Linked DNA regions of Rattus norvegicus. The protein of the gene in region 5 purifies or fractionates together with the protein of the main gene of each other region. This does not show direct contact. Links are inferred from orthologs where the notes say so. Each region holds a gene or a part of one and is shown on either strand. Other genes may lie near its edges. The genes, in order: Cdc26, Ttk, Anapc2, Anapc7, Cdc27, Cdh1 and Anapc11.

What was found.
Region 1: the proteins of Cdc27 (region 5) and Cdc26 purify together in Homo sapiens (affinity purification with mass spectrometry; 12 studies listed by BioGRID and IntAct, with this or other methods). This does not show direct contact. The link is inferred for Rattus norvegicus from reciprocal best matches to the Homo sapiens genes CDC27 and CDC26.
Region 2: the proteins of Cdc27 (region 5) and Ttk purify together in Homo sapiens (affinity purification with western blotting; 3 studies listed by BioGRID). This does not show direct contact. The link is inferred for Rattus norvegicus from reciprocal best matches to the Homo sapiens genes CDC27 and TTK.
Region 3: the proteins of Cdc27 (region 5) and Anapc2 purify together in Homo sapiens (affinity purification with western blotting; 20 studies listed by BioGRID and IntAct, with this or other methods). This does not show direct contact. The link is inferred for Rattus norvegicus from reciprocal best matches to the Homo sapiens genes CDC27 and ANAPC2.
Region 4: the proteins of Cdc27 (region 5) and Anapc7 purify together in Homo sapiens (affinity purification with western blotting; 23 studies listed by BioGRID and IntAct, with this or other methods). This does not show direct contact. The link is inferred for Rattus norvegicus from reciprocal best matches to the Homo sapiens genes CDC27 and ANAPC7.
Region 6: the proteins of Cdc27 (region 5) and Cdh1 purify together in Homo sapiens (affinity purification with western blotting; 4 studies listed by BioGRID and IntAct, with this or other methods). This does not show direct contact. The link is inferred for Rattus norvegicus from reciprocal best matches to the Homo sapiens genes CDC27 and CDH1.
Region 7: the proteins of Cdc27 (region 5) and Anapc11 purify together in Homo sapiens (affinity purification with mass spectrometry; 8 studies listed by BioGRID, with this or other methods). This does not show direct contact. The link is inferred for Rattus norvegicus from reciprocal best matches to the Homo sapiens genes CDC27 and ANAPC11.

Annotation. Positions count from the first base shown.
Region 1 is NC_086023.1:80,872,527-80,876,730, forward strand, and holds the start of Cdc26 (anaphase-promoting complex subunit CDC26), read right to left. Parts: upstream 2,801-4,204; 5' UTR 2,733-2,800; intron 5-2,732; exon of another isoform or gene 1-4. Other genes in the region: Prpf4 (U4/U6 small nuclear ribonucleoprotein Prp4), read left to right, coding at 3,060-3,086, 3,760-3,937. UniProt on the Homo sapiens protein: Component of the anaphase promoting complex/cyclosome (APC/C), a cell cycle-regulated E3 ubiquitin ligase that controls progression through mitosis and the G1 phase of the cell cycle.
Region 2 is NC_086026.1:93,641,139-93,644,638, reverse strand, and holds part of Ttk (dual specificity protein kinase TTK), read right to left. Parts: intron 3,319-3,500; coding exon 3,212-3,318; intron 4-3,211; coding exon 1-3.
Region 3 is NC_086021.1:28,491,128-28,494,627, forward strand, and holds part of Anapc2 (anaphase-promoting complex subunit 2), read left to right. Parts: intron 1-292; coding exon 293-368; intron 369-448; coding exon 449-652; intron 653-3,500. UniProt on the Homo sapiens protein: Together with the RING-H2 protein ANAPC11, constitutes the catalytic component of the anaphase promoting complex/cyclosome (APC/C), a cell cycle-regulated E3 ubiquitin ligase that controls progression through mitosis and the G1 phase of the cell cycle.
Region 4 is NC_086030.1:39,793,849-39,797,614, reverse strand, and holds the end of Anapc7 (anaphase-promoting complex subunit 7), read left to right. Parts: intron 1-699; coding exon 700-850; intron 851-2,473; coding exon 2,474-2,663; 3' UTR 2,664-3,266; downstream 3,267-3,766. UniProt on the Homo sapiens protein: Component of the anaphase promoting complex/cyclosome (APC/C), a cell cycle-regulated E3 ubiquitin ligase that controls progression through mitosis and the G1 phase of the cell cycle.
Region 5 is NC_086028.1:89,915,271-89,918,770, reverse strand, and holds part of Cdc27 (cell division cycle protein 27 homolog), read left to right. Parts: intron 1-31; coding exon 32-239; intron 240-824; coding exon 825-997; intron 998-3,500. UniProt on the Homo sapiens protein: Component of the anaphase promoting complex/cyclosome (APC/C), a cell cycle-regulated E3 ubiquitin ligase that controls progression through mitosis and the G1 phase of the cell cycle.
Region 6 is NC_086037.1:51,464,678-51,468,177, forward strand, and holds part of Cdh1 (cadherin-1 precursor), read left to right. Parts: intron 1-643; coding exon 644-868; intron 869-1,132; coding exon 1,133-1,360; intron 1,361-2,406; coding exon 2,407-2,537; intron 2,538-3,205; coding exon 3,206-3,349; intron 3,350-3,500.
Region 7 is NC_086028.1:106,380,134-106,383,633, forward strand, and holds part of Anapc11 (anaphase-promoting complex subunit 11), read left to right. Parts: intron 1-1,609; coding exon 1,610-1,755; 3' UTR 1,756-3,500. UniProt on the Homo sapiens protein: Together with the cullin protein ANAPC2, constitutes the catalytic component of the anaphase promoting complex/cyclosome (APC/C), a cell cycle-regulated E3 ubiquitin ligase that controls progression through mitosis and the G1 phase of the cell cycle.

The DNA.
Region 1 (4,204 bases), on a different chromosome or scaffold from region 5:
TGTGGGGAAAACACAACACAACAGACCATGCCAATCTAGGGCAAAAACAGAACTCTAAGGAGGGTCCTTCAACAGCACTGCATGAGCATCTAGCCGAGGGTGGGCTGCCTAAGAGTGGCTAGGGATCTCAATTCCCTATGGGAAAAGGTGTCTTAGTGAATTTGAAGGGTAGGCAGACAGACTTAAGGTCAGAGAAGTTCATATGGAGAATGAAGGTTTGTGTTAACAAAGCCCATGTTTGTTTCAGAACAAACACTTGAGCTGGCAGCACCCGGTAGAGTGGGCCCTGCAACTCACCTGGGCAGCAGTAGAGCTAGCCCCGGTGAAAGGCGTGGATGAGGTAGTCCCTGAAGACCTGAGAACAGGAGAGCTGACACTCCCCCTTGCCAGCTGTGGCACTGGGTAAACTAGCTGGAGCAGTGTTGGAGAGTTCACCCGGATGGTGCAGATACAGGTGGCAGGCTGATCAACTCAGCTACCTCCCAGGACCAAATCCAGGGCTCTGAGTTGGCCCACCCCAGCATCTACCCCATCTATGATCTGCACAAGCTGCAGGGTCACATCTCCATGACACAGGGCAACAACATATCTGAGAGGAGTCCTAGTGAGGTTCCAGTATAGTGTAGCAAAAGCCAGAGGCCCTAAAACAGGCCCATGACTCATTGCACTGAATGAGCATTTATAAGTTTAGGTGTGTGGACAAACGGGTATACTCCATGATACACCATGATGTGCTACAGAGTCCATGACAAATTTTTGTTTATTCTATCTTATTTTCTTATTGTAGGGGGGAGGTTGCAAGGGCAGATGCAAAGGGACAGGGAGATGAGTGGGACTGGGGTGGATGATGTGATGTTCACAAAGAATCAATCAAAAGTTAAGAAGAAAACCTAAGGGGTTGGGGATTTAGCTCAGTGGTAGAGCACTTGCCTAGCAAGCGCAAGGCCCTGGGTTCGGTCCCCAGCTCCGAAAAAAAGAAAAAGAAAAAAAGAAAACCTAAGCTGACTTTAGTATCTGTTGAAGGTATTGTCTCTATGTCCTCCACAGCATCCACAACAAAGTAAACTGAGCCATAAAAAATAGAGAAAGTGAAACTAACTTTTCTTAAATTCTAGACTCTCCCATTATTGGTTTTTCTTCTCACTTTGATAACTCAAAAGTTTTTGCCTCTTAAAAAAAAGTTTGTTCTATTTATTTGTTGGGTGCTGGTGAAAGCACATAGCCCACAGGCAGAGGTCAGAGGACAATGTCTGGGAGTTGGTTCTCTCCATCTACTATGTAGGACACCACACTTAGCATGGGCTCCTTTACGACTGAACCAACCCACATTCCCATTCTTTATATTACTTTAATACAGAAGCCTTGGGAAGCTTGAAAAATTATTCCAGTTTTATAAAGTTGAAGCAAACAGTTTAATTAACAAATTCAGAAGCCGGGTGGTGGTGGCACACACCTTTAATCCCAGCACTCTGAAGGCAGAGGCAAGCAGATCTCTGTAAGTTTGAGGTCAGCCTGGTCTACAGAACATGTTCCAGGGCATCCAGGGCTACACAGAGAAACCCTGTCTTCCAAAAAAAAAACAAAATAGCCTCCTATAAAAGTTACTCATAGACCACTAGAATAAAAAGTTGTGATAATGATCTTCGTGAAAGTTCCGCAAAAAAAAAGTTCCGATATAGTGTGCATCCATATAAATTATTATTGCATGCTAGCAGAATGAAACAAAAGACTACGATGTATACGAAACATTTACACTTCTTACACTTCTCTCAGGAGTGTCACATTATATCACATCTCAAGGGGCCATATGGTCAACACAAAACACTGGCCTGTGACAATTCAAACTGCTTTATTCTATCAGATACTACCTTCTACCAGATCCCTAAGTAGAGAAATGGAAGCCAGCTCCAAAGAGAAAGGGAAGAAATACTTAAGAAAAATAATTTCCTACTTGGGTATGAACTGAAAGCCTCACCACTAGAGAGCAACAGTGAGTACGGGTTAAAAGCGCGGCAGTCCACCCGCCACATTACTAACCCTACTACACTGTGGCTCCAGAACGACGGATTACCTTTTCTCACCAGAATTTATTTTCTGATCTTTACTCTTGTTGTCCCGCGACTTAAATAACTAAGATAGAATAAGCTCCTTGCGCGTAACGTGGCATTTAGTAAGCCCTCGAAGTGGAAGTGCTCTTCTAACTGGAGTTGTTCGGGGAAGAAAGAGGCTTAAGAGTGAGAATGAGTCTGTTCAGCTCAGCAAACGCGAATATTTTGCAATCCCCGCAACTTTCATGTAAGGGTTTAAAAAAAAAATATCTCTGACGGCCTAGCAATCATTGCAACTGCAGCTGCTGGTATACACTTTATCTGGCGCCTCCCTGGACCCTTTATTTCAAAGAACATATAAAAAGAACAGGCTGTAGACAAGTAAAACAACAACAAACTAGGCCGCAGCTCCTCCACCACATCTCTATTTTAGCCTTAGAAGGCTCTTCGAGTTTAATGTCTTCTTAAAGCACAAAATCACTTCGTAGCCACCCAGTTACCAGGGGCCCCCGGAGAACTTCCGTCGTGAACAACAGTCCTCTTTCCCAGCTCCAATGCTGCAGAAGTCTAGGGAGAGATTTCAATGGCAGCACAGGCCTCGGTTTCAAAATGACGGAAGGCCTCCCGAAGGAGAGCAGAGACCCTTGGTTTGTTCCAGATTAGACTTGCGATTCGCAAACTTACCTCTTTTCAGGCCTCTGAAGCTTCCCAGAACCTCAACTCCCACCTTGACTCCATTGCTACGCAGCCCGAACTACACTTCCCAAGTTGCTCTGCGCCTTTTTTTCCCACGCGCCTCTTCTCCCGAGAGGTTGTGCCGCTCTATAAGGCCACGCCCATCGATGACAGCCGACACTTGGCAACTACCACTCCCAAGATACTTCGCGACTCCTAGAGCACGAACTGGTACATTTCCGGCCAGTGACGCACTTCCACTTTGCTAGGCGCGCGGTTCCCGGTCTGAAAAGCAGAACGGGATTTGGCTAGGGCCTCGCGGCTCCAGAGCCCGGCATGGCCTCCTCACGAGCCTCCTCCACGGTACGGAGTTCCGCATCTAAGTTCATGCTTATCCTCTCCTAGGGAGGACGCGGTCCCCGTGGGAAAGGGCCGTTACCTTACGGGTCCGGGCAGAGGAGGAGGAGGAGGAAGGCTGGGGGACCGTGGTGTGGACCTTAGCAGCCTTTTCCTGATTTCTAAACGCCTAAACTGCAGCTCTTTTTGCACTGCTCTTACTTAAGCCCTGAGCAGTGAACAACACTTTTTCTGACTGCTCCAAAGCACAGTTCTTTGAAATCGGGCAGTGTCTTGACGTAAGCTGTACGACTGGTACTTATGAGGCCTCCCAACTTCTAATAGGCTCTGAAAGTATTTGAAATGTGTATTCCAGTAACATTGTGACTTGGTGCGCCGAATTGTTTGGGTTGTTTTGGGTGTATGTCCAGTGGCGAGAAGTTATTTTCGTAAAATCGGAGATTGCATTTCGAATAGATTAAAGTAACAGGCCCCAAAACAAACCAAGACATATCAGACAGAAATTGTTTAATTGTAATTGTGTGCCAAATTTAACGAGAGCGTGAGCTCGGCGCAAAGTCACTTTCGACTTTGTCCTAGTTGTGAGAGGAAATAAAATGAAGGCTCAGCATTTCCTTCATTCTTTTGGAAAGCATGGTTTGCTAGGACCAAACCTTAATCGGGGTCTTTGATTTAACAGACAACCAAAACTAAAGCACCTGACGATTTAGTTGCTCCTGTTGTGAAGAAACCACACATCTATTATGGAAGCTTGGAAGAGAAAGAGCGGGAACGCCTGGCCAAAGGAGAGTCTGGGATTTTGGGAAAAGAAGGACTCAAAGCCGGCATTGAAGCAGGAAATATTAATATAACGTCTGGTAAGATGCAAGTTGAAAATCACACACCCCCTCCCCCCCTTTTTTAACAGTGCTAGGAATCCAACCCAGGGTTTTTTGCATGCTAGGCAACTGTTCTGCCACTGAACCACATTCTCATCTTTCCACTACACTCTTGCCTGTGACCTCACACTGCTTCTGCCTCCTCCCTGGTACTAGAATCAGGTGTACACGACTGTGCCCCTCTGATGAGTCATGTTATAGGATCAAAACTTATTGGTCTGGGAAGCTACTTCAGGTGCCGAAAGC
Region 2 (3,500 bases), on a different chromosome or scaffold from region 5:
TGCCTAAGAGAGGGAAAACAACTGTTATTTGATGCAGGACCCTTTGCCCACTATTCCCAGCTCATTGATTCATTAAGACCTAGTGGAAAGATTAGACTGCTTCACACTACTGCATAAGCAAATACACAATTTCTCACTTATCACACAGAGTTAAGTCCTCTTTCCCAATTCCTGCTCACCACTGAAAACCATTTAGAAGTTTAATAAACTAGTGCATACACACACACACACACACACACACACACACACACACACACACACTACAGCAATTAGAAGCATCTTGAGTACTCTCCATATTAAAGCAAACATTTGTTATAATATACTATTCATAATAACATTTAGTCATCAAGAGTGAAAATTTGCTAAAAACTTTTCTAGCAAAAGGATTTATTAAAAAAAAAAAAGTTAGAGGGCTAACATCTGCTGTTAAATTAATCTATGCCACTGCCAAAATACAAAATAACTAATACAAAAGTTTATTCAACCAGACGTTATCAAATTTCCTTTCAAATACAAGCTGGATCTTTAATAGTTGGTAAATGTTCAATGTGTACATCACGTAGCACACAGGATGATATCAGCAGTCACGGAATTCACGGGCTACAATGCTATACATGGCACTTAGGGTATAAAGAATATCATGTAAGAAAGACACTTCAATACCTAACCACAGGAAAAGACTTTCTGAATAGAGTCCTACTTGCTCAGAAAATGAGAGCCGAACTGGCAAGCAACATTAGAAAGCTTCTGTACAACAAAGGAAATAGCTAATCAAGTAGAGAACATGGGTGTTCTTTGCCAGCTATGCATCTAATAGAGGCCTAATATCTAAAATATACAAAGAACTTAAAAAACTAAGAAACGAGAAAATAACCAAATCAATAAATAAGATAATGAAAAGATAGTCATGAAGGAAGAAATACAAGTGGTCAATAAATACATGAAAAAATGTTTAACTTCACTAGGGAAAGAAAAATGCAAATCAAACTACATTAAGAATCCATTTTACTCCAGTCAGAATGGGAGTCATTAAAAAAAAACAAATATAAAAAACAAACAATAATGCTGGATCAAATGTGGACAAGAGAGAAATTGTAAGCATCACTAATGAAAATACAGACTAGTCCAACCTCTGTGGAAATCAGTACCAAGGTTTCTCAACACACCAGCAACAGAGGAAAGAGATGAACCTCCTCTGCCTCTCCCACATGTTTGTTTACTCAAAGGACTGCAGTGCAACGTACCACAGGGACCCCTCACCCCAGTGTTTACTGCAGCACTGCAGAGCTGGAGAGAAGGCTCAGTAGTTAAGAGCACTTGCTGTTCTTGTAGAGGACCAGGATTTGGTTCACAGCACCCGCATGGCAGCTCACAACCATTTACCAACTCCAGGGGCCAATGCCTGCTTCTGACCCATGTGGGTGCCAGGTATGTATGTACATGGTTTAAGTACATACATGCAGGCAAAATACTCATAGACATAAAAGAAGAAACTATTTACAACAGCTAAGTTATGATGCCAATATAGATATCACAACAGAGAAATGGATGACAAAAATGTGGTACATACACACAATGAAATCATTTTCAGCCATGAGGAATAAAGTAGTGACTTTTGCAGGAACATGGATACAACTACAGACAATCACATTAAGCAAATTAAGCTAACCTTAGATAGATGTCTTTTTTTTTTTTTTTTTTTTCCGGAGCTGGGGGCCGAACCCAGGGCCTTGAGCTTCCTAGGCAAGCGCTCTACCACTGAGCTAAATCCCCAACCCCGATAAATGTCTTTTTTCCTCTTTTATGGTCCTATATTTTGTACAGTAACACAAAATCATATATCCATATCTACATCTACCTATATCTGTACACATATACACATACACACACATATATGCAAGTAGAGGTGAAACTGTCTAGGGCAGCCAAGGAGATTAAAGAGGGGAAGGGAGGGCAGAAAGAACTGAGGGCAGGAGATATGCTCAACATCCCACATATGCCCATAAGAAAACCTTTAAAAACAAGAGATAACCTCTTACTCACAATTTACAAATTTTAAAGAATATATGTTAAAGATTAAATCCCTATGTTTACTGAGAATAGTGACTTAGAGAAGCACCAGTAATTTAGGGTCTTATTAACTCAGGTCAAAAGTCCATTAGAGAATCAGATACAGAACCTGGGAAGCCCTTTCCCTATACATGCACACGGGAATCAGGCCACAGGCCTCGTGAAGCTGAGGTAGCTCCTAGCACTCTATCCACCCACCCTGTTCAAAACAGTCACAATTTTGATCTGGTGGCCGCTGCCAAACTTCAGTGATGTAGTTGTTTTTATAGTCAGCTCAATTTATTTGTTCTAAGATGTAAGAATTATAGTTACTACTGAAAGGCCACAGGGTCTTTAAAGCCTGACCAGATCTGCCATAAGAAGCAAGAAAGCATCAGTTTTTCTAGGAAGGAAATGTATGCTTTACACGGACACAGCTGACTACATATTTAACTTACTGGCTTAGGAATCCCATAGGTAAACTCCGAATTCTCAAACCATGTCTGTGTTACACAGTATTTCCCTACCTCAATTCTGGGGAGCAGCCTGCAAACCTTACTTTAGGTACTGTCAGAGGGCCGCTGCTAGCTGTGCTGATGCTCAACTGCAGTACACGAAATCAGAATAGCAGCACCAGTAAGCAGAGGAGAAAAAGACTTGGCCAGAGGATACGCTGAGGGCTACACAGGGTAGAAACGTCTCAGGGAAGATGTCCTGCCCTCAGTCAAAAGACAGACTGATGGATGACACGAGCGAGGGGACAGTCCTTGTAGTGGTGTGTGAGGTCAGCAGCTCAGTGTCACAGCATTATCTTAACACGCTCAGTGCTTGGAAGCCACAGCCTTGACTGACTAAGTGCTAGCTAAAATGTCTTATCATCTATTCCACAAAAACTCAACGGACACAAACATTCCTTCAGATGGATCCTGAGTGAAGGACAGAGATGCAGTGTGTGTACTTGCTCCCACAGAACGGTCCTTCTGAGGATAAAGACAGCCCAGAGAACAGTTTACACTTACACCATGGAGCTCTCCACTCCACGTGCTCATCTGATCCCCTGCAATATTTCTGCTTTAATATTTCACTTCAAATCTGTGATTCCATATTAATGCTACAGTAATGTGCTTTCACTCAAAATGTAAACGTGATATTTTCAGATTACCTTGAGACAGTTCAAACTGTGCGAAAGAGACATGCACGAAAGCAAACTTCTTGCAGTTCTCTCGGGCCATTTGGAAGTAGTCGTGAGCATCGTCAGGTTCTTGAATACTGCAACAGGAGACTAGACTCAGACTCAAAAACCAAGAGCTCTCATAACAAATACACTTGGTAACTTCCCTTTTTAAAGATGTAGACTATTCTTTATGTACCATTATAGGAAATGTCCAAACTTAACTCTGAGGGATCTATGTCCACAGAAAAGAATTTACATTAAGAACAAAAGTACTAGT
Region 3 (3,500 bases), on a different chromosome or scaffold from region 5:
TAAGGAGCAAGGCTACACATATCATCACTTGGTGTACATGAGGATCTCCTCATCCCTGAGACAACCAGACTTTGGGTGGGTGGGTGGGGGCAGTAATTATCATTACAATACATAACAAAGACCAAACCTCAACAGCCAGAATGACCAAACTTTGGCCCTAGTCTTTTGCTTCCTGCTTTCCCTTCAGCCCAGTGTTTCCTGAGCAGGTGGGTTGTCTGGTCCAGCTGTCTGCTTAGGGTATCAGTTGAAATGGAGTCACATTGCAGCCCCTCACAGAAACTTGTCCTTGCAGGGAGATTCGTAATGTGGAGCTGTTGAAGCTGCGCTTTGGAGAAGCCCCCATGCACTTCTGTGAGGTCATGCTCAAGGTAAATACCCAGGACTGCCCCGAGAGTTGTGCCTACCATCACCATTAAGCCCAGGCCGTTGATGAGGTATCCTTTCTTAGGACATGGCAGATTCCCGCCGCATCAATGCCAATATCCGTGAGGAGGATGAGAAGCGGCCTGTGGAAGAACAGCCACCATTTGGGGTCTATGCCGTCATATTGTCCAGTGAATTTTGGCCTCCCTTCAAAGATGAGAAGCTGGAGGTCCCTGAGGACATCAGGGCAGCCCTGGATGTTTACTGCAAGAAGTATGAGAAACTGAAGGTACAGCCAGTAGGCCTCTGGGTAGTTTGTGTCTCTGATCAGACCATCAGACCCCACATAGAATTAGCCCATGTCCAGGTAGCACAGCTGAGCCCTAATGGTGTAGAGGTTAGAGTTCAGGGAGTGGTATGGCCAAATTCAAGGATCCTTCCTGAGCTGGTGTCAGTTATGACATGGGAGGCAAGAGTCTAACGCAGGTGGGGCAAGCGTCCTACTCTGGGTCATACATAAATGTGGGGCCAGCCTTGTCGGGTCAGGCTGGACACTGACGCCTCAGGCAGGCGTGCCATGGGGGCATCTGCAGCATCTTGTTCCTGATGAGCATAGTGCTGAGGCTCGTGCTTCTTCCTGGGATCAGAAGACCTTACGTGGCTTCATGCTAAGGATCTGTGCCCCTGGATGATCCCTTTGAGTACTTGAGGGGCAACAAAATCCAGTCAGAGGCCCTGACTGGAGAAATTAAAGAAGGGGAGTGTCTGTGTCAGTAGCCGTGAGAACCTTGCTACCTGGCTGAGTTTCTGAAAGAGTCTAAATATGGTCTTTGGCCTTTACTGACACCAGGTGAAAGTGTGGTTACTGGTCACCAGTATGTCCTGTTTTGGTTGAGTACCACAGCCCTACCACTTCCTGGCCAGTCCTGTGTACTCAGTGTCCTCTCCTACTGTTCCTCTGACCTATTTTGGTATGAGGTCCTCGTTGGCTTTGCTAAGTTTTTGCCCTGGGTCCTAGACATGACTTAGATGCGTCTTGTTGATCAGATCCAAAGAGTTAGGATGGCCATACACTAGTGTGACTCAATTTTTGGTGGTACTAGAATGGCTCTGGTAAACCCTAGGGCTGTGCTAAGAGGGCAAGCCTGTGGCCACAATAAAGTTATCTTTCACCAGCCAAGTTCCTAAAGGATCTGGCTGGGTTTGTGGGTGACTGACTATGCAGCCCATATATTGTGATGTATTGTGACCCTTTTTCAGGTCATGGCTTTAGAACCAGTGTTAGGATAGCTAAACTGGATGAAACCAGGGGAAGCCATTGATACTGCCTGTTTCTCTATCTGTAGAGTGAGTTTATTGGTATACTTCTCCGTTAAGAGCTACAGGGGTCCCAGAGGGTCTCAGGCCATCAGTTTTGCCACTAGGTCAGAGGTACCAGTGTCCTGGGTGTCCTTATGACATACTGCAGACACAGGTTTGCCAGATTAGAGCTGTATTGCTGAGTTGTGATGCCCCAGGATGCTCTAGGGAAACCATTTTTCCTGCCTCTCGCAGGAGCCCTAGCAGACCTAAGTAAATGGACTTTTTGTTTGTTTGTTTTGATTTTGTTTTTCGAGATAGGGTTTCTTTGTATAATCCTGGCTGTCCTGGAACTTACTCTGTAGACCAGGCTGGCCGCCAACTCAGAGATCCGCCTGCCTCTGCCTCCCGAGTGCTGGGATTAAAGGTGTGCACCACCCTTGCCCAGGTGGTAAATACATGTCTTTATGTCCAGGTTTTCTCTGTCTGTTCCTCTCTTCTTAGGATACCATTTATAATCAGATTAAGGACCAATTCTACTGCAGGACAACCTTATTTTAGCAGATTACTTATTTAATGACTCTGTTTCCAAATAAGGCCACATTTGGAGATAGGACTTACAGTGTCACTGGACAGTCAGTGTCCTGAGCTTTACTACTGTCTCTTTGAAGAGATACAGTTTGACCCATGGCAGTCTGTAGTTTCTAAAATTACTACTCTTCCCAGGAGCAAATTAGCCAATACCAGTATCTCCCAAGTAGCATCCCAACTGATGCTAACCACTTCAGCATCAGTTCTTAAAGTCTCTTCTAGTCCAGGGGGGCAGCACATGTCTATGATCCTAGCACTCAGGAGACTAAAGTAGTAGGACAGCAGGTTTCGTGTCCAGCTTGACGCTGTGACATTGTTTTGATCAGAGTCCATTGTTCAAACAAGCCTAGGTCAGAAATGGGCATTCCCAAAGGAACCTAGAAGGATCATGAGCCGAAAGCAAATCTGAAACCCAGCAGGCAGAGTTCACAGTCTGGCTCAGGCTTTGGCACCTGGCTTGCCTTGCAGCCCCGTGTGTACTCTCCCGTGCTGCTGTCACTTCATTCACGGTCAGCACTGCTGCTGGCATAACATTCAAAACCTTGGTGCTTTCCATGAAATGTGCAGTATCCAATTTATCAAGTAACGGCGTGGTCCTGAGCTGGTGACGCCTGTCCTCCCAGCCTTGGAAGGTGAGCACAGCAGCAGCATCCTAGTTTGAAGCTAGCTTGCTGTACATAGCAAGTTTCAAGGCAACTAGGGCTACAGAGTAAGGTCCTGTCTTTAAAAACAGGAAAAGAAAGGGAAGCGGTGGGTTGGGGATTTAGCTCAGTGGTAGAGCGCTTGCCTAGCAACCGCAAGGTCCTGGGTTCGGTCCCCCGCTCAAAAAAAAAAAAAAAAAAGAAAGGGAAGCGGTATCTTCCTGGCCATGCTGTGTGTTCTAGTGGATCTACAAGTCACAAGTCACACTCATCTCAGCGAACGTCTGGCCACAGCCTGGTGGTTTTCTGCCAGCTTCCCCCAGCGTCTAGTTTGTTCCTCACTTCGATCTGCGCTCTCACCAGAAGGTCCTCTTAATGTCCTCATCTCTACCAACATTATTCTCCACAGTCTGTGCAGTAACTCTCTCTTCTGAACCTTCACCAGCATCATCTCACCTGCCATATCGTTACAGCCCATTGGCTGTAACAGATCTAGGCTTTAACTTTCATGTGTTTCCCCAATGTACAAACAATTATAGCAGTTTCCCTCCCTCTCTAGAACATTTTTTTTTTTTTTTGAGACAGGGCTTCTCTGTATAGCCATGG
Region 4 (3,766 bases), on a different chromosome or scaffold from region 5:
ACAGATGGTGGAGCAGTTCTGCCTGCACCTGCCTGAAGTGCTGTGTGTGTCACACCAGATGTGGCTTAGACCTGCTTAGGTTGGTTTACACCAGTTAACGTTACTTGGTAGCTGGTGAACTCATCTGGTTGGTTTAGTTTTGAACTCGTTTAGTGTGTTACAGCTGACTTTGGTCAGTTTGGTTCTGAGCTATCTGGATTCTCTTGTTCTTTTTGCTTCTGGCATATTCCTAAGTTTATTTGATGCTATCAAGAGGGTATTTTGGTTCAGGGTTCTAGTTCAGGGCCATTGGCCTCATCTGGTGCTGGCCTGGTCTGCAGAGGAGTTCCAGGACAGCTCGTCTGCAAAAAAAAAAAAAAAAAGTTTTTTTTAAAGATTCAGGGCACAGACTCAGTGGCTTGGGTAAAGAGGCCACCAAGACTGACGACCTCAGTTCAGTCCTCAGGACCTGCGTGATAGATAGATTGTCCTCTGACCTCCTCTCATGTGCTGTGTGTGCTTGCCCACACCACTGTATAAATAAGTTCATGGATGCATGGTTTTTAAAGACACAGTACTCATGTCATTTCCCAATGAACTAGAGACCACATGCCCCTCACCCCTGCAGCGCCCCTTTGAGGGGGTCTCTGAGAAAGTTGTCGTGTCATAGTGGGTGTGACTGTGCACTAGCTGAGCAGTAAAGGTTGTCTTTCTCTGCAGGCAGGGAGCAGAAGTACGAAGATGGAATTGCTCTGCTGAGAAATGCACTGGCCAACCAGAGCGACTGCGTCCTGCACCGCATCCTGGGGGACTTCCTGGTGTCTGTGAATGAGTACCAGGAAGCAATGGACCAGTATAGCATAGCACTGAGGTAGGTGCCCGGCCTCCATGGGGAGGAGAGGAAAGGAAGCAGGGCCCAGGCAGCTCTGCAGACAGCTGTGCCCAAGGTGAAGGCAGGCTAAGAATAGCAATGAGAGAAGGTATTTGCAAATTCATGACTCCTGACATATTTTCCTAAAGCATATTAGAAGAATTAGAGATGATCATCCTTCTCCAGCCCACATAAGAGTAACACCCAGACTGATCTGTGCGGCTCTCCTGTGCTTGCCCACACCCCCATGACGTCATAGGCTTATGCCGAGTACATATTTTACATTCTGCTTTTTATGATCAGAGTTTGCTAAGTGTGTGCTTCTGGTTTTGTCTGCTCTAGTAATTAAAAACTTAAATTCCGAAGTTTGAGTACAGCTTCTACCTGTTATCTTGGTCAAATACTAACCAATTCCCTGTCTATACCTACCTCATTGGGCATTAACTAGGGGTATCAAGATAATAATTGCTACATAATCGTGCAGACCCAAGTTCGATTCCCAAAACACATGTAAAGGTTGAAGGAGAGAATTGACTCCAAGGTTGTCCTCTGACGTGTGCGCCATGGCTTTTACACAACGCACAGACAATGTGTGTGTGTACACACAATAATACATTTAATTTTTTAATGTAAATTTCTAGGACTTTTCTTTTAAAGCTTTCTTAGGAGCCAAATAAATGAGGCTCCTGGGCTCTGGGCTTCATGGTGTTGCTACTAGTGAAACTGTCTTAGTCCAGCCCCTAGCCTCAGGACTTATGATCTGTCCCAGAGTGTAGCATGGTTGACGGCGGTGGCTGCCTGCAGTCCACGGTATAAAGTCACATGGAAGAATAACCAGCCTGGGGCAGGCTACATGCAATCATCATGTACCCGAGGCTGCCCGGGTGTCCTGATCCTGTTTCCCTCCTGGATGTGCTGGGCTGTGTCCTGTGCCTGGCCTCAAGCACCAGGCCTTCTGCGAGCACCGCTGCTCTGTCTGGTCACTGCCCCCGACTGCCCTCACTGCCTCCCCTGCTCCCACTGCCTCCCCTGCCCCCACTGTCCCCACTGTCCTCCACTGTCCTCCACTGCCCCCACTGCCTCCACTGCCCCCACTGCCTCCCATTGCCTCCACTTCCCCCACTGCCTCCACTGCCTACAGGAGAGTTAAGGGCTTGGTATTTGAGGAGCTTTAAAAACTTTTTGGAGGAAAATTTGAAGTTAGAATTTTTAATTGCCATTTTAAAGTGAATTGTTTATTAATTTATTTTATGTGGATGGGTTTGCTTGCATGAATGTCTGTGGACCATGTATGTGCCTGGTGCCCAGAGAGGCCAGAGGAGGGTGTCAGATACTTGGGAACTGGGGTCACTGTTGGTCATGAGTCATATATGGGTGCTGGGAACTGAACCCAGCAACAGATGCACTTGACCACTGAGCCACCTCTCCGGCCCCTTCAAGTTAAAAGTTCTAAAACTCCGAATAATGTCCCTTTTCATCTCTGATGGACTCCCTGGGTCCAGCCATGGAAGCACAGTTGTTTGCAACGTCTCTGGCTTAGTCATATCTGCTGGGCCAGCTCAGTGACAGTCCCAAGAAGCAGGGCAGAGACTCAGGCCTGTCTTCTGTTTTGTTGTTCCTCAGTTTGGACCCCAATGACCAGAAGTCCCTGGAGGGCATGCAGAAGATGGAGAAGGAGGGGAGCCCCACAGACGCCACTCAGGAGGACGACGTGGACGACATGGAGGGCAGTGGGGAAGAAGGGGACCTGGAGGGTAGCGACAGTGAGGCAGCCCAGTGGGCTGACCAGGAGCAGTGGTTTGGCATGCAGTGAGGGCACAGCGGTGACCCTTGTGTCCCTAGAGTGGCAGGAGCTGTTGGACGTGTGCTCACAGCAGGCCTTTCTGCCTGTTTCCTCAAGTTGGCACTGATGTTTGTCCGTCTGCTTTGCTGTGGACTGAGCGAGTTCCGAGCCACAGACTCGCCATTCTGGATGGTTCGGCTGCACGAAATGGAAGATGCTTTTTCTCTTTATGAGCGGGTACATAGGACTGAGCCATCCTCTTAAGAGCACATGCCCCTGGGTGGCCCTGTCAGAGGTTCGGTCCCTGGGAGTCACATCCTGGTACGGCCACACTCCTGTAGTCATGGAGCTCTGGATGGGGGGGGGCGGGCTGTGCCTCACTGACTGCAGAGCAGGCTCGGCCTCAGTGGGCAGATCTGAGAAGCAGATGATGGGAGCATGGCCACCCCAGGGCAGGTTCAACTAATAAAACTGCCCAGTGTGGTGTCACATGTCACAGTGGACACCCTTTGAGACTCTTCCTTTTTCCTCCTTGTCAGAGGCAGCCATGCAGGCCTAGACAGTTTGACATACATATACTCCCTATTCTCCCATGTGCTGGGAGGCAGAGCCCTGAGCTTGTCACACAGAACCAGCCTGGCTCTTTCCTGAGTCCCTGAGGGCAGGGTCAGCCTTGATCATCTGCCTAGAGTCTCATTCAGCTACTGGGGATGGGTCGACTCCAGGTCCCTCCTGGGTGCCTTTCAAGATGCAGATCGGTGTGCTAGGAAGAAATGAGGTTTACTGTAAAGAATCCGTAGTCGATTTCAGAGCATCTGTCAGTGCAGTGAAGTGGGCCACGTAGTCTGGTGGAAACATTCCGGAAGCCTGCACTTGGGAGGCAGAGGCAGACAGTTCAAATGTGCTGGGCTGCACTGCAAGATTTGCATTAAGAGACATAAGTTAAGCGGACCAGGTCTCATAAAGTGTGTCAGTGAGCCTCAGCCTCCACACTAGCCGGCCCTGAGCAGTCTCAGGCTCCCTTTGAGCAAGCAGCATGTGGGTGGTGCTTTTCCTGACTCCACCCCGCCAGCAGCCCCACTCACCAGTCAGTGCTGAGAGAAGGCAAAATCTGTTCAGCCACAAATTGAACC
Region 5 (3,500 bases):
TGATAAGCCTGGATTTTATTCCTTTCCACAGGAGAATAGCAAAAAGTTAAAAATGAAGTTTCCACCTAAAATCCCAAACAGAAAAACAAAAAGTAAAACTAATAAAGGAGGAATAACTCAACCCAACATAAACGATAGTCTGGAAATTACAAAATTGGACTCTTCTATCATTTCAGAAGGGAAAATATCCACAATCACACCTCAGATCCAGGCATTTAACCTACAAAAGGCAGCAGCAGGTCTGTTTATAAAGCTTACTGTACTTCCTGTATTTCTGCTTTATTTTATACTTATTTTGATTAAGTTTCTTCATGCCTTATTGTTTTTAGATTAATGCTGGCACTAAAGGTTATTTTAATGGATATTTTTATGTTTTGAAGTTTGTGTCTCTTATCTGTTTCTATGGCTGTGTTTATCTCAAAGAAGCCCAGATTGGGTGTGAATCCCACAGGATGGGAGTTGTAGATGGTGTGAGCTACCGTGTAAATGCTGGGAACTGGACAAAAGTGCTTTTAACAACTGAGCCCCTTTTAAAAACCTTTTTAACTTAATTACATTTTATTTTATTTCATTGAGAGAGGTTGTGTGTGTGTGTGTGTGTGTGTGTGTGTGTGTGTGTGTGTGTGTGTGTGTGTGTGTACACATGTATGTATGTGGTCCCAGGGATCAAACTCAGGTCATCAGTCAAGAACCTTTAACCACCAAGCAATCATGTCAGCCCAAATACTGGAAATTTTTTAAAGGAATAGTTTGTAGTTAACGGTTTTAGAAAACCAAAGTTGTGTGTATTTTTCTCCTTTGTTTATCATATTGTTTTCTCCTAGAAGGTTTGATGAGCCTTCTTCGTGAAATGGGAAAAGGTTATTTAGCTTTGTGTTCATACAACTGCAAAGAAGCTATAAATATTCTGAGCCACCTACCTTCTCACCACTACAGTACTGGCTGGGTCCTGTGCCAGATTGGACGGGCTTATTTTGAACTTTCAGAATACATGCAGGTAAATATACCAAGATACATATACTTCCTAGAATTAATTTAACTTTTATGCTGAAGGCTGATCCTAACAATTAATATTCATTTATTATATAATTGTTTTCCTAGTATGTATAACTGTCATAATTAGGATTACTATTGCTGTAGTGAAACACCAGACCAGAAGCAACTTGGAGAGGAAAGGGTTTATTTTGCTCACAGTTCCTTGTAACAGTTCATCATTGAAAGCAGTGAGGGGCCTGGAGAGCTGGCTCAGGTCAGCAGTTTAGAGCACTAGCTGTTCTTCTAGAGGTCCTGAGTTCAATTCTCAGCATTCACATACCCACACGGTGTCTCACAGCCATCTGTATGGGATCCGATGCCCTCTTCTGGTGTGTCTGAAGACAGTGACAGTGTACTCACATACAATAAATTTTTTTAAAAAAAGCAGTAAGGGCAGGAACCTGGAGGCGGGAGCTGATGTAGGTGGAGGGTGCTGCTTACTGGCTTACTCCTCATGCTCAGCCAGTTTTCTTACAGAACCCAGGACCACCAACCCACAGATGGCACCACCCATGATGAGCTGGGCCCTCTTCCATCAATCACTAATTTAAAAAACACCATTCTGTAGGATCTTATGGAGGTGTTTCCTTGGTTGAGGTTCCATTTTTTTTTTTTCTAGATTAACTCTAGCTTATATCAAATTAATATAAAACTAAGAGACACAATAATTTATAAATAAAATCATTTCTTATATTGAGAGAATCTAACCTTAGTGGGCTTTCTTGAAAAGGATTTTAGAGAACAATCATCAAGTTAATGTAAATTATACACTGATCTGAATGTTTGGCATTTAGTGTGCTTTATAAACTTAATGCTATGAAGAATATTATATTTAATTGAAGATGTCCTAATAACAGGCTTTTTTTTTTTTTCTTTTGAGGCAGAATCTTTTCACCTCTTAGCTCTGGCTGGCCTGGAACCCGCTATCTACATCAGCCTCATCTCTAATGCTAGGGTTAAAGGCATATACCACCAGACTTGGCTGGTTTTGTTTTTGGGATAGGGTTGCATGTAGGCCAGACTGTCCCTGAATTCTATAAGCCAGGATTACTCAAACTCCTAATTCTCTTCTCTTCCCTCTTAGATTACAGAAATCTCCTACCATCCCAATTTATGAACCCATGTAGGAGTTGAATCCAGGGCTCCATACATGCTACACCAACCTTACCAACTGAGAGAGACTTCAGTTTCTTTTTTGTTCTCAGAGATCATAATCACCTGTGAAGTTTAGTTTGTTTTGGGGGTTTTAGGGTTTTTTGTTGTTGGGCGGATGGGTGTGTGTGTGCACACATGAGCACACGAGAGAGATGGGGCGGGGAGGTTTCTGTTTAATCCCCTGCTGGCCTCATACTCAGAGATCCACCTGCCTTTGCCTCCCAAGTGCTGGGACTAAAAGCATGCAGTGCCACCACCACCAGGCTTTATTTTAGAGACAGGGTCTTGCTGTGTAGACCAGGGCCACCTTGAGTTCATCTATGGCCCAGGCCAGCCTCAACTTGCTAGTCCTGTTGTTGCTTTTGTATTCAGTTGTAGCTGATAATTGATTTTTGAAAGGTGACAATAGCTTCTGAAAGTTTTGAAGCCAAAAGGTTTCTGTGTGGTTAATTACTTTGTTATGTCATATAACATAACAATTTGTATGTTTTTTTAGAAGCACTTATAACTTTTAAAGAGATTCAAGGGGACTTAAAAAACAGTAAACTGATTCTGCGTGACAAATCACTGTGTTTGGGGCAAATGGTTCCAGTTTTATAAATGGTCTTTCCCAGGACTGGAGATTGACCCAGCAGCTAACAGCACTTGCTGTACCTGTAGAGGTCCAGTTCCCAGCACCACAGTTGTCTCCCAGTCGTCTGTAACTCCATCTCTAAGGCTTTGATGGGCTCGTCTGGCCTCTCAAGTACCCACTTACATAAAGTCAAATGACAGTTCTTTCCTTAATTTCTGTCATGTTCATTATGAATACATCCCAAATATTCCTTATTCTCAACTGTGACTTTGAACATTTTGACTTACTAAGGTGTCAAAACTAGGTAACACATCAGTCCTATAAATGTGAAGTTTTTATAAAATTTATAAGAAGCACGGTTTTAGAAAGTGTAAATATTTTGAGAGAGATAAAGGTGACCTGTTAGCTCTGGGGAGGCCTTAGAAAGAGTCTGTTGGTCGTGGGTCCTGTGCCTCCAGCAGACACAGGGCTCGGTGGTGCTCGGCACTCGGCGTGCAATGGAGTTGGTAGCTGTTCACCTTTTTAGCCTCTAAAAGTTTCAGCTCAGCTTTTCATTAAGTTCATGTTCTCTGTCTGTCTGTCTGTGTCTGTCTTCTCTCCCCCTCTTCTCCCTCCCTCTCTCTCTTTAAAATTGTGTCATATGTGAGTGCTTGCATCCACAGGAGGATATTAGATCCCCTGGAACTGCAATTCCTGATAGTTGTAAGCTGCTGTGTGAGTGCTGGGAACCAAAGCC
Region 6 (3,500 bases), on a different chromosome or scaffold from region 5:
ATACCCCAAGATTTTTTTGGAAAAAAAAATTTTTTTTTGAGACATGGTTTCCTGTATCACCCAGGCTAGTTTTGAACTCACCATGTAGCCACGAAAGGCCTTAAAATTGAGGTGACCCTCCCTTCCCTCATGCGTGGTTCTAAGATTCCAAAGAAAGTCTACCTCACTCTGCTTTTCCTTACCTTTTTTTTCCCTTTCTTTTCTTTTTTTCAGAGCTGGGGACCAAACCCAGGGCCTTGTGCTTGCTAGGCAAGCGCTCTACCACTGAGCTAAATCCCCAACCCCTTTTCCTTACTTTCTAATAAGATCTGCGAGAGCCAGGCTTTGGTAGGAGGTTGAGGCAGGGTGATTGTAATTCCAAAGGCAGCATGCTAAGACTTTGTCTCAAAAAACAAACAACAACAACAAAACAGTACCCCCCACCCCCGAATTAAAATGTGTGAGTAATAGACTAGGAAGAGAAGAAAGCTGCCTTTGAAATGAGAAATACACTCATTGTACACAGTGTGCAATAAACTTGTCAGAATTCTGAGACAAGGGCAGAGGCTCTGGTTTGCTCGGAACCTGCTGAGGGATCACAGATAAGCTAAGTCATCATTTGTCACTATCCTTCAGCTGTGACACCCTTTCTGTTTTCTCTTAGGTTCACCCATTGCCACTGGCACAGGGACTCTTCTCCTGGTCCTGTCAGACGTCAACGACAATGCTCCCATCCCAGAACCTCGAAATATGCAGTTCTGCCAGAGAAACCCGAAGCCCCATGTCATCACCATCTTGGATCCAGACCTTCCCCCAAACACATCCCCCTTCACTGCAGAGCTCACCCATGGGGCCAGCGTCAACTGGACCATTGAGTACAATGACGCAGGTGTGAAGGCTCACTGTTTTTAGAGAGGTTCTACCAGTCCCGCTTCACCCTTCCCTTTGATATTCGGCCCTAGTTCCTTACACATCTCATGCACACTCCTATTCCTCTGAGAGACATACTGCACAGTAATATGAGCTCCAAACAGTTCCTTCCCCCAGCACTGGATGCCCAGCACTTTGGTTCCCTAAACATTTTGATCCACTGAGCTATTCATTCTGTCCCCTCCCCTGGTTCCATCGTTTCTTTTTTTTTTCCTTTCCCCAGAACAAGAATCTCTCATTTTGCAACCAAGAAAGGACTTAGAGATTGGCGAATACAAAATCAATCTCAAGCTCTCGGATAACCAGAATAAAGACCAGGTGACCACGTTGGAGGTCCACGTGTGTGACTGTGAAGGGACCGTCAACAACTGCATGAAGGCGATCTCCCTGGAAGCAGGATTACAAGTTCCCGCCATCCTTGGAATCCTGGGAGGGATCCTGGCCCTCCTGAGTAAGTCCAGGTCGCAGGTGCCTCAAAACGGGGAAGGACCATCTGCTAAGAGGAGCTGGTAGTTGGAGTACAGAGCAAACTGGTGATGACGTGGAGTTGGGTGCGGGAGCCTTCTGTCTCTTTGTGCTCCCCTAGATTGAGGACATGCAAGTCACCTGTGCCCCTCAGTAAAGTGGGACTTTAGACCCAGCATTCCTAGCAGGACTCCGCAGAGGCTCCATTTTAAACCAGTCCCCAAGAAATGCTGAGCTGGCAGCAAGGGTATCGCACACTATTCTCGGTAGCATAGTTTAGCGGCCAGTTAACCACCCCCTCTGCATTCCATCCTGGAGGGCAGATGAAAGAGGAAGTAGAGGCCACCTAACTGCAAGTTGTAGATGTCGCCACCACTTGCATCTCGTTGGCTCAAATGTAGCCATACCAAGTTACAAGGAACCCTGGGAGCTCTTGCTCTTAACTGGGTGACGAGAGCCCATGGAATGTCTGGGAGGCAGTGGAGATGGAGGGTCAAGTGAACAATGGTATCTAATCCATGGCTGAAAAATTGAAAGAGAATGGAGATGCTGGAGGGAATCTGTCATTTCTGTCCATAGTCCTTGGTCTGATTTTACCTGGAGAGAGTTCTGGGCTTGGTGCCAATGCCGTGAGGATTTCAATGATCAAGGGTTTGTGGGGATTTTTCGTTTGTTTGCTTTGTTTTATTTTTTAATTGTTTATTGAGAACATACCTGACCTTTTTTTTTTAAATTTTTTTGGGGGGCAGTCGATATGTTTTATTAGACTTGGCTAAAGTGGAAATTCTCCTATCAGATGTTTGAAGCATAAGTGGTATCAGGAGCCAGACGTCACACTTGTTTATTATTTCTGTTGTATTGTTTCTTGAGAAATGGTCTCCTCTGACTGAACATGAGATAGTCTTCATTCAGGTGGCTACCCACCCGCCGCCTGCCTGGTGGTGTAAGACTGTGTGGTTCCGGGATGGCTGCTTCCTCTGCTTTCTTGCCTGTGACTCATCACTTTTCCCTCCCTCCCTTCCCTGTCTCCAGTTCTGATCCTCCTGCTCCTACTGTTTCTACGGAGGAGAACGGTGGTCAAAGAGCCCTTGCTGCCACCAGATGACGATACCCGGGACAATGTGTATTACTATGATGAAGAGGGAGGTGGAGAAGAAGACCAGGTGGGTTTTAAAGATGGAGAACTTCATGTCTGACTGAGGCTACTTCATTGGCTACATGTCTGTCATGTAGGCTACTTCATTCACCCTGCTGTACGGCTATGGAGCACAGACCTCTATGGTCACAAGAATTCCAGACACTCTAGTGTTTGCTGCAGTGTTTGTTGATCACATCGAGGCTCACAACGTCTGTAAATCAGTGAGGACTGCTAATCTCGCAGAATTGAGATGAAAGGCCCTAAGCCGCATCCTGTGCTCAGGTCTGCTGCGTGGGAGCCTCGTGTGAGTTGCAGTAGGAATGCATCACTGCTGTCTTATTGCCTCAAGCCCCTCACATGACAGAGCCCATTGCTGACAGACAGGACACTACTTGCATCGGCTGTGGTGGGGAGGACTAAGTGTTTGCCAAGTGATAACCTGATAATCATGTCCCATGAAACGAGTAGGACACAATAACTTGAGTTCATGCCATCCCCAAGGTCTCCTTTTTCTTTCAGTTTGAGTTAGGAGACTTTTTAATTTGCAAAATGCCATTTTACATACATTTGGTCACTCGGGGGTCATTTGGCGTTTTCCATAGGCACAGTCTGTGATGCCATGAAGCAAACCCTGCCCTGTGCAATGCAGATGCTTCTTTATCACGTGTTGTCATGTTCTGCTCTTCTCTCTAGGACTTTGATTTGAGCCAGCTGCACAGGGGCCTTGATGCCAGACCGGAAGTGATTCGAAATGATGTGGCTCCCACCCTCATGAGCATGCCCCAGTATCGTCCCCGTCCAGCCAATCCTGATGAAATCGGGAACTTCATCGATGAAGTAAGTAGGCAAAACCGTGAGCCAAGGCAAGTGCATCTCTTAACGCAGAACCAAGGAGAAAACCATTCCAGTGAGGAATGTTGCCTTCCTGGGCCTACGTCCCCGAGACAAAAGCAAAGTCTACTTGCAAAGATTTGGTAGACCTAGAAGG
Region 7 (3,500 bases), about 16 Mb from region 5:
AAATTAAGTTATGAAGACCATAATAAATCTGTTCTAGGACCCTGGGGGCTTTAGGGCACAACAGTCTTACGAAGAGGCTTTTAATTAAAAGTAATTCCATCAAGGCACTAGCAAGTCCTTGCATGAGTCACCCTCAGCGCACCAGCTCACTCATGGATGACTCCAGCTTGCTGCCTGCAGGGACATCTTGAGAACAAGACAGTATCTTCCTCCGAGTGATTACCCACACGGGGGCCAGCTCAGTAACCCCTGTCAGTGAGCTAGTGGGGTCCACGTCTAACTGGAAGAGAGTGTCTTCAAGCAGAGTTCTGCTGAAGTTAGCAGCCACCAGTGGTGGCTTTAATCCCTGCACTTGGCCAGCCTGGTCTACAGAGTAAGTTCCACCAGCTTTGCATAGAGAAACCTTGTCCTTAAAACAAGAAGGAAGGAAGGAAGGGAGGAAGGAAGGAAGGAAGAGGCTTGGTAGATATGACAGACACAGCACTGGTGCCCCCAGGTAGACTGGGTGCCGTGAGGCTCAACTGATGTGAGGCAGGTGCTCTGAGCGCTACGTTCTTCAGTGGGGTTTTCTAGGCCCTGGAAGTCAGGAATGTTTGTTTTTAAACAGGCTCTCATTTCTCTTGAATCCTCTTGCCTCCGCCTCCCTTCCTGAGTGCTGGGATTATCCTCTTAGGTAAGGCTTGGGGAGAATGCAGGGCGTTGGACATTCTGAACAACCCTTCTACTGGTGGAGCTACATTTCCCGTAAACCCCCCCCCCCCAGTGTTTGTTTTTAAATTTTACTTTAAAAAGGCTTATCTATTTTTATTTTACATGTTTCGCCTGAGTGTATATCTGTACCACATGCCTGCAGTGCCTGGGGGAACCGGAAGAGGGTGTCAGATCTGCTAGGATTGGAGTACAAATGGCTGTGAGCTGTCATGTGGAGGCTGGGAACTGAACCCTGGGTCCTGGGCGAGATCAGCAAGTGCCCTTAACTCTGCAGCCCCTGTTAGCTCTGATTATGACAGTCCATCTCGGCTTGGACTTAATCCACATCTCCAAGCCTGTAGAGGGCCTGTGGCCTGGGCCCTGGCTTTGGACGGAAGTAGGAGTTGAGGGTTCAGGTAAAGAAGAGAAGGTTAACAGATGCTGATGAGTCCCACTAGTAACTGTCCCAGAAACACCTATGTCCCCAAGGTCTGCAGTGCAGTACATCTCTGATGTCTAGGAAAGGAGCTTTCTAAGTTCCAGGATGTCTGCAATGAAGACAGAGTTCTCCACTCAGGCTGTGACTTTTCGGCTCTTCAGCACTTTGGTCATTAATGCTGCCTTTCCGTAGAAAGGTGTGAGAGGGGGACCGGAAACCAGTGGGCTGGGCTGGGCTGGGTCTCCCCTCTGAGGACACTTTACTTGCCTCTGAGGGAGTCACTGCAGATTTTTTATTCGAGGGCCATGTCTGGGGATAATTGGGTAGCACTCCTACTCTTTGTCTCTTCTGATGTGGGAGGCCTGAGAGGCTCTCTGCCTGCGGACTAGAGCTGTTTACTAATGTCCCAGAGGCCTGCCTGGCTTGTCACATGCTCAGTGTGTCTTCTTCCTAAGGCCTGTCTGTCTCCCCTTCTTGCAGGTAAGGTGCCTGGTGACGACTGTCCCCTGGTGTGGGGACAGTGCTCTCACTGCTTCCATATGCACTGCATCCTCAAGTGGCTGAACGCACAGCAGGTGCAGCAGCACTGCCCCATGTGTCGACAGGAGTGGAAGTTCAAAGAGTGAAGCCTGCCATGCCCACTCCCTTCTCCCAGCGCTGTGCCAGGCTCAGCCCCACCTTTCCCTTCCCCAGATAGGGCATCCCGAGTCCCCTCCACACAGCTCAGGGGTGCCCAGGGACCCCATTCTGTGCTGGGGACAAGGATGCTTTCTGTTTGGCTGAGACGAGGTGGAAACGAGGACTGGAGCTTTGCTGGGTGTTTTGTTTTTCCCATCACATTGACACTTTTATTAAATAAGTAAAACTCATTAAAGTTCTGAGCCGCTGGAGGCCTCTGCTTGCCTGTTTTCCCTGACATATTGATGCAGCTGCAGCATGTTTTGCTGTGAACACACTCATAAATAAACAGTTTGGTAAAGTATCAGCCAAGACCTTCATCATAATCTGAGTCACAGCTCCGACAGGAAGAGTGGAAGAGACTCGGGCAGGGCCAAGCTGGGCAAAGACTTTAGGGTGTGTTTGTGTCAAGGGCCTAGCAGCCAGCACATAGCCCACCAGCTGCCCTAGTCTTCTGGGAGTCCCAGGATCTCTTCCCATCCTACCCCTAGCTGAGCAAAGCTGGATGCTGCTCCTCCAGAGCCACTGTGGTTAGAGGAAGAGGTAGCTAAGCAGGCACCAGCCATGCCCAGATGACCTTGGAAGACTACTTCAGCAAGCTCTTGAGTCTCTTGCCTCTTCTTCAGGCTGAAAGCAGAGCTGGTGTAGGAGGATGTGGGTCCTCTGGTGTCTTAGGGAAGGACAGCCATTTGGAAACTCCTTTATTCCCATGGCGGTTGTGGGGTGGGGGGGATTATCAGCCATTGGGAAAACAGTAGCCCAGCCCTAGTGTGTTAAGCTCCTGGGTAGAGACCAATTTTGGCTGGTATCCGGGAGTCGTGGCCAGCTCCGCGCCTTGTCTTCACTGACCATTCCCAGTAACACCTTCACATTCCCTATGCGCTCTACAGCCTGGGGAGTAGACCACCATGGCTGGTTCCACCCATCTGTGTCATCATCATGTTTGTTGGCTACAAGACTCCCTGCCACCTCTGTGTGGTGTCCTTGGGGTACCTGAAGCAGACCCGTGCTGCTGGGAAACAACTTCATGTCACTCGGCTATCTATGGCATGCTGGTCTGGAGCTGGCACCAACTATCAGGAGTGAAGAAGGCCACTTCCTGGTGTAACTCAGCCTAAGGATCGCGGAGCGCTGCAGAGGGAGCTGAGATTTGTGGATTTGGAGCTGCTTGGGCGGGCAGGTGTGGTCTGTCCTTGCTTGGTGGCTATGAAAGACTGAGGGGCAGGGTGCTAGGGTCAGCTTGTTTCTTCTTTTTTTTTTGGTTCTTTTTTTCGGAGCTGGGGACCGAACCCAGGGCCTTGCGCTTCCTAGGTAAGTGCTCTACCACTGAGCTAAATCCCCAGCCCCCAGCTTGTTTCTTCTATCTCCAGTCTGCCCACCCCCTTGGGGTGTCCTCCGTGCCTTTTCTAGGAACCTAGGAGTCTAGGAAGCACTCCTGACATCCTTATGCTCCCAGGTTCCTCCGTTCCCCTCAGAGTCCCTCATGGCCACACACGTCACTCATTCTGGGTTCCTTAGCACCCAGATTCCTTATGATGTGCTCATGTTGTCAGCAGCTCCTGGTCCCAGGGTCAACTCCACCTGCTTCCTCCAAAAAAGTCACCTGATAGACCAGCTATAGCTTGTGCTCACCCTGAGCCGCTTTCCCAGACAGGAACAGAAGGCCTTGTAGGAAGCTTACACCATTGGCCTC